2 linked regions of the Macaca mulatta genome follow. Each later gene encodes a partner of the first gene's protein in a complex. Links are inferred from orthologs where the notes say so. Each region holds a gene or a part of one and is shown on either strand. Other genes may lie near its edges.

Region 1 (3,289 bases):
TCAGTGGTACGATCATGGCTTACTGCAGCCTCTACCTCTTGGGCTCAAGCAATCCTCCTGCTTCAGCCTCCTGAGTAGCTGGGACAACAGATGAGCACAACCATGCCCAGCTAATTTTTATTTTTTGCAGAGACAGGATTGCTATGTTGCCCAGGCTGGTCTCAAACCTCTGGGTTCAAACAATCCCCCTGCCTTAGCCTCCCAAAATGCTGAGATTACAGGAATGAGTCACTGCACCCAGCCCAGGACTATTTGTTCTCATATTCCTCCTCATACCTAGTTTACTATCTGGCATGTAGATGCTCAGTGAATGATTGATTTGGGTAGTTTTGGTTCTTTATACGGACCTTCAGGTTAGCCCCAATGCACTGGCATGGAGCTAGTTACCTGAGCAGGTCTTCACAAAGGTCTGAGGTTAGTAGCAGGTGATAAAAGGGGTTGTGGAGTCTGGACTCCTAACTTAAGAGGTGGAGATGCTAAAAGAGAAACAAAGGCAGCAGAGTTGCTGAAGGTAGGGACTATGGCATTTATTAACCCTGTGTTTTCCCCCTCACTGGTCACTGCTCTTGACTCGTAGAACAACAGGTACAGAACTGCAAGGGATCATCCCCAGCTCTGTGATCACCAGATCCACAAGCTCTGGGGGAGTCACATCATAGACTAGATTCAACAACCGTAGGGACGCGTGGTTCTGCCAGTTAGCCAGTGCGACATGTTCTCCCCGTTTACACTGCAGATCATCAGGGTCATCTGCAATGGAAGGTGTACCCATTACGTTCTTTTAGAAAAGAATTTCTAGTTTATCTGCCCCTCTCTCACTCTCAAGTCTTCACAGGTAGCTGGAGGCTTCTCTTTTGCCCTACTTACCTAGCTCATTAGAGACAAAGGCATCAGTCTGCACACGCTCACAGAACTTGTATGTTTCACAGCAAACCAGCACTGGTACATTATGGGCTCGAGCCACCAGGGCTAACTGTGCTGTCCCTACCCGTGACATCACAGACCCGTTGGCCAAGAGTGCATGAGCTCCCAATAGCACCTTGGAAACCTGTTTGTTTCACAGGAGAAGGGGAAGAGAAAAAATGTCATTGTTGTATCAATGCAGAATAAAGTCCCCTACTTACAGGACAGCAACATTAAGACAAGTAATAAATCTCAACATGGCCGGGCGTGGTGGCTCAAGCCTGTAATCCCAGCACTTTGGGAGGCTGAGACGGTGGATCACGAGGTCAGGAGATCGAGACCATCCTGGCTAACACGGTGAAACCCCGTCTCTACTAAAAAAATACAAAAAACTAGCTGGGCGAGGTGGCAGGCGCCTGTAGTCCCAGTTACTCGGGAGGCTGAGGTGGGAGAATGGCATAAACCCGGGAGGCGGAGCTTGCAGTGAGCCGAGATCGCGCCACTGCACTCCAGCCTGGGCGACAGAGCAAGATGCCATCACAAAAAAAAAAAATAAATAATCTCAACACCTGTGAAAAGAAGGGAAGGAAACAAAAACAAAGAGACAAGTAATAAATCTTTTTGTTTTTTGAGACCAAGTTTCACTCTTGTTGCCCAGGCTGGAGTGCAGTGGCACGATCTCGGCTCACCACAACCTCCGCCTCCTGGGTTCAAGTGATTCTCCTGCCTCAGCCTCCACAGTAGCTGGGATTACAGGCACACACCAACACTCCCAGCTGATTTTTTGTTTTTTTAGTAGAGACGGGGTTTCTCCACGTTGGTCAGGCTGGTCTCAAACTCCCAGCCTCAGATGATTTGCCTGCCTCGGACTCCCAAAGAGATAGGATTACAGGCGTGACCCACTGGGCCTGGCAAGTAATAAATCTTAATCATGGCTTTTCTTCTGTGAAAACATCTTAATGATGGCTCTTCCTCTGTGAAAACACCTGACCACTGACCCATCAAATCTCCCACAGGAAAACTAAACTTTGAAGTTACTTTTGTCTTGTTCCCTCTTCCTGGTTGCTAGTTTAATGTAATGTTTTTGCAATAGCTAGACTGCTGTAACATACTGTCAGTGTTTTTCCAATTAAATATAAACAGGGCTATGTAATTTTTTGTCTTGACACAGGGTTTCACTCTGTCGCCCAGGCTGGAGTGCAGTGGTGCAATCACAGCTCACTGCAGTTCCCGGGCTCAAGCAATCCTCCCATCTCAGCCTCCTAAGTAGCTGGAACTACATGCGCATGCACCATGCCCAGCTAATTTTGTATGTTTGTGTGTGTATGTGTGTGTGGAGACAGGGTCTCATTATGTTGAGCAGGCTGGTCTTGAACTCCTGGGCTCAAGTGATCCTCCTGCGTTGGACCCCCAAAGTGCTGAGATTGCAGGCGTGAGCCATGGCGCCAAGCCAGGACTATATAATTCTAATACTTTTAAATAATTGTGGCTGGGCACAGTGGCTCATGCCTATAATCCCAGTACTTTGGGAGGCCGAGACAGGGGAATTGCTTGAGCCCAGGAGTTCCAGCCTGGGCAACATAGCAATATCCCATCCCTACAAGAAGAATAAAAACTAGCTGGGCGTGGTGGTGCACACCAGTAGTCCCAGCTACTCAGAGGCGCAGGTGGGAAGATCACCTGAGCCCAGGAGGTCAAGACTGCAGTGAGCTGTGATCACGCCACTGCACTCCATCCTTATCTCAAAACAAAAACAAAACTAACTTTGAGAAGGTGAGATTACATCTATACTACTACACTTTTTTACCTCCAACTTTGGAGTCCTTTTCCTCTGTACTCACCTCTGGGAGCACATAGGAGGCTGCAGGAATCAGCAGGTAGGAGGCTGGGACACCAGCACGGACTAGAGAATGTAGCGTGTGCCTTCCTTCCAGCCGTGGCCGGCTGTCCACCACTACCACCCGAAATCGCCGGCCCTCTGTCCAAGCCTCCTGAAGAATTCGTGATACCAGAGATGAGCTAGAGGGAATGAAGAGGAGGATTCAGTTATAAATGTCAGTAACTGATGACTAACTTATTCCCAACTTATTCCCAAAGGCAAATGGGTAGTCCCTTCTTCAGATCATTCCAACTCCCCAGTTTGCTCAGTCACAGGGTCTGGACCATACCATCCATATACCAGGATCACATCTCCATTACTGATCTTCTGGTAAGCAAAGCGTGAAATTGCCTGAGCTGCAAGCACAATCTTCTCTTTCACATACCGGTCAATGGCTGCTTGAAGTTCTGACTTGGCCTAAATGGAGCACAATCCTTAGTGAACAAGAAATGGACACTTTTATCCCACTGATGATCATGCCAGGTGCTTGAATATGTGTATGATGAC
Region 2 (3,653 bases), on another chromosome or scaffold:
AGACCATCCTGGCTAACACGGCGAAACCCCATCTCTGCTAAAAATACAAAAAACTAGCCGGGCGTGGTGGCGGGCGCCTGTAGTCCCAGCTACTCCAGAGGCTGAGGCAAGAGAATGGCATAAACTCGAGAGGCAGAGCTTTCAGTGAGCTGAGATCAGGCCACTGCACTCCAGCCTGGGCGACAGAGCCAGACTCTGTCTCAAAAAAAAAAAAGAGGACAGACTCTGGATCCAAACTTCCTGGATTCAAATCCTGACTCATCACTTGTTAGCAGTATGTGAAAGAACAAGTAACTTAACCTGTGCTTCACTTTTTTAATCTAGAAAATGGGGAGAACTAGGGAGAAAGTTGTACCACAAGGAGATAGGCAGTGACCAGATCATATAGGATTCTGTAGGTAGTGAAAACATATATAAGTCAGTAGCAAGCCACTGGGAAGATATAGGCAGGTGCCAATTAATAAGTTATTAAATTAATTTTCACAAAGTTTTCTTAGGCCTTTAAGTTATGTTACTACTTAAGTTTTGAGCAGTGACAACAGTGAAGGTTAACAGAAAAACATGGAAATCATCAGCCATGATTAGTTTGAGAGCTTCCTTTTTAAATGTGCTTCTACCCAGATTATGATTTCAGGCTTGTGGATCATAGAAGGAGTAGTGCTGAAAGTAGGTTGGGTGGATCAAAGGGAATAATTGTAAATATCTTTAATGCTTGGAGGTTAAGAGAAACTTTAACTTTGTAGTAATGGAGATTAAAGCTATTCTCAAGATTAAGTATACCTATTCAATAAAAGAAAGGAATATTTGGGAGTATTGGGGATAAGAGAAGCTAGACATTGTGAATTCAAGGAAAAAAAATTATGAGAGGAGGAGGATGAATTTTAGTTTATTTTGTGATTAAGATTTTTTTAGTTTTTGTTGCTTTGACATGTGACGCTAATTTGGGCTATAATAAATGACAATATATCATATGGTATATTGGTTAAGATTTAGGTAGAAAATCTTTCCTTTATATAGTGAGTGGTAGCATATACAATGTTTGCTAACTTCAGCGAAGAGTAGCTTTAGTTTTCTGATTAGTTATAATAGTGATGCTTCCCATCATTTGATATGCCTTAAAGTAGTATTTTACTCTTGAGGTATTCCTTTAATCCTTAGGTCTTGGAGTACTTTATAGATGGTCATTATTTTTTATGATTCCTCTGAAACTAATGGCAGAGAATCACCCAAGCATTACAAAAATGTTGAGCAAAGTAAAAATTAAAGCTTGGTTCCTGAACATTATCTGTTTTCTGGTACCACTTAAGTTTCAAAGGATGAGAAGACTAAGACTAATAACTATTTTTTTCTTCATCTTTTCTTTCAGTGGCAAGATGTGGAAATTGATTTTTTTTTTTTCATCTTAACTGAACACTTATTTAATTCTTTTGTTTAAATTGCAGAATGCCGGGTCTAAGTTGTAGATTTTATCAACACAAATTTCCTGAGGTGGAAGATGTAGTGATGGTGAATGTCAGATCCATTGCTGAAATGGGGGCTTATGTCAGCTTGCTGGAATACAACAACATTGAAGGCATGATTCTTCTTAGTGAATTATCCAGAAGGCGTATCCGTTCTATCAACAAACTCATCCGAATTGGCAGGAATGAGTGTGTGGTTGTCATTAGGGTGGACAAAGAAAAAGGTAAGTGAGAAAAATATCTGTAATATAAATTTCAGATTTAAAATGGTTTAAAAATACATTTTTTGTAAATTGCATGCGGCAGCTTAGGGAAAAAAAGCTCTTTTTATACTTAAACCTCTTACATACAAAGTGGTTAGAAAACCATGTCAATTAGCTATTTAAACAAGATCTCTTAAGTTAATAGTAGTTTAATTAGTACATCCTAGGATTTTATGGATCAAATAACTTGAATTTTATTTCTAGTGTTTATCAGGATTTTGGTAATTGAATCATGGTAACTAAACTTAAAGAGAGTACTAGTTCATTTACATTGGTAGATCTGAATATGTTGGATGCCTTTTTTCTTGATTTAAAGCTAAAGTAGTAATGAGATCTTTGGGTAAGCATGAAAATGGGGCAGATGGGTTTTACGAATCTTTTATATAAGCCTTGAAGAAGCAATATACTATGTGTGTATATACACACCTGAAATCTAACATTGTATATCTTGCTGGTAATTAGAATGTTTGTGTCTACCAAATCCTGTGGTATCTTTCAGACAGTTTTGAATGACTATCCATTTTTTACTTATTGGATTCCTTTTCTGGACCCCATGTAAATCATCACCTTTGTGAATACTGTTTTTTAAAACATGGTATACAATACCATTAAGTAGGTTTTAATTTCAGCCATCTTACTTTAATTTGTTAGGTGTTAGTTTTAGGTCATTAGTTACTATCATGTCTGAAGGGCTGCATATCAGTCACCTTGATTCAACTTATCCTTCTGAATCTCCTTAGCTGTCTAGTTTACTGATACTTTCTCACTTCTGCAAGTGATTAATTTTATACATACTGACTTTTTTTTTATTATTATTATAGCCTTAGATGATACATAAATTTTGAGGTTATCTTATGCCTTAGGTAGTGACTGCTACTTAGCACATGGATTGTTTTAAATGTTTTGCTGTGACTTAGCTATAGCCCCACCCAAAATTATTAAACTACTTTGAGACTATTTGTTAAACTTACGTAAGTCTTCACATCACTGTCCTAGTAGTACGTAAAATAGTGTCTAATCTTGTACTTCGGTTTTTTTTTTTTTTTTTTTTTTAAGAGTTGGGATCTTGCTCTGTCACCCAGGCTGCAGTGTAGTAGTGTGATCATAGGTCGCTGCAGCCTTGAACTCTGTTCAAGTGTTCCTCAAGCAGTCCTCCCAAGTAGCTGGAACTATATGCATGTGCCACCCTGCCCAGCTAACTTTCTTTGTAGAGATGGGGTCTCACTATGTTGCCCAGGCTAGTCTTGAACTGGGCTCAAGTGATCCTCCTGCCTTGGCCTCACAAAGTACTGGGATTACAGGTGTGAGCCACTGTGCTCAGCCTTCTTTTTCTATTGTATGAAATATATACAAAAGGAGGAATCAAATATGTTTTTAGTTGCAATCAGAAAAAATATGGAATGGCATACTTGCTTACATACAGTAGATACATGTAAAGCTATTTCCATAGCATTTGTTTGTATGGCATTAACTAAAACCAGGAAATGACCAAAATGGGGACTGGTTAAATAAATCAGTACAAATGCATGCAATGCAATTTTATGCAGAATGAGATCTGAATATTCTGTATTCTGATATGGAAGATCTCTACGATAGGATGAGGAAAAGAGCAAAGTGCAAAACAGCCTGTAGAGATAATTCATTTTACTAGAGAATTAGGTCCTGCTAGATAAGCCTTTCGACGTAAATGCCATAAACCCTGAACAAGTATGAAAAATAACTACCTAAAGACAATGAGAAGCAGCCAAAAGCAGGCCAAACTTGAAAATTTGAAGGTGAGTCGACACTTACAAGAAAGGATATGTTGGCCGGGCATGGTGGGTCAAGCCTGTAATCCCAGCACTTTGGGAGGCTGAGACGGGCGGATCACAAGGTCAGGAGATCGAGACCATCCTGGCTAACATGGTGAAACCCCATCTCTACTAAAAAT

What was found. Proteins that work in one complex are often made in the same cells at the same time.
Region 2: the proteins of EIF2B4 (region 1) and EIF2S1 are in contact, whole or in part, in a cryo-EM structure (PDB 6O81), measured with the Homo sapiens proteins. The link is inferred for Macaca mulatta from reciprocal best matches to the Homo sapiens genes EIF2B4 and EIF2S1. Residues at the interface, in NP_001029288.1 of Homo sapiens: Asn245, Glu246, Glu247, Arg250, Thr285, Ser520, Ser521, Asp522; in NP_004085.1 of Homo sapiens: Met30, Tyr33, Met45, Arg55, Arg57, Arg75, Glu79, Lys80, Tyr82.

What each region holds. Positions count from the first base shown.
Region 1 is NC_133418.1:97,615,742-97,619,030, reverse strand, and holds the end of EIF2B4 (translation initiation factor eIF2B subunit delta), read right to left. Parts: intron 3,200-3,289; coding exon 3,072-3,199; intron 2,923-3,071; coding exon 2,745-2,922; intron 1,049-2,744; coding exon 868-1,048; intron 751-867; coding exon 551-750; 3' UTR 503-550; downstream 1-502. UniProt on the Homo sapiens protein: Acts as a component of the translation initiation factor 2B (eIF2B) complex, which catalyzes the exchange of GDP for GTP on eukaryotic initiation factor 2 (eIF2) gamma subunit.
Region 2 is NC_133412.1:140,529,325-140,532,977, forward strand, and holds part of EIF2S1 (eukaryotic translation initiation factor 2 subunit 1), read left to right. Parts: intron 1-174; exon of another isoform or gene 175-1,442; 5' UTR 1,443-1,443; coding exon 1,444-1,684; intron 1,685-3,653. UniProt on the Homo sapiens protein: Member of the eIF2 complex that functions in the early steps of protein synthesis by forming a ternary complex with GTP and initiator tRNA. This complex binds to a 40S ribosomal subunit, followed by mRNA binding to form a 43S pre-initiation complex (43S PIC).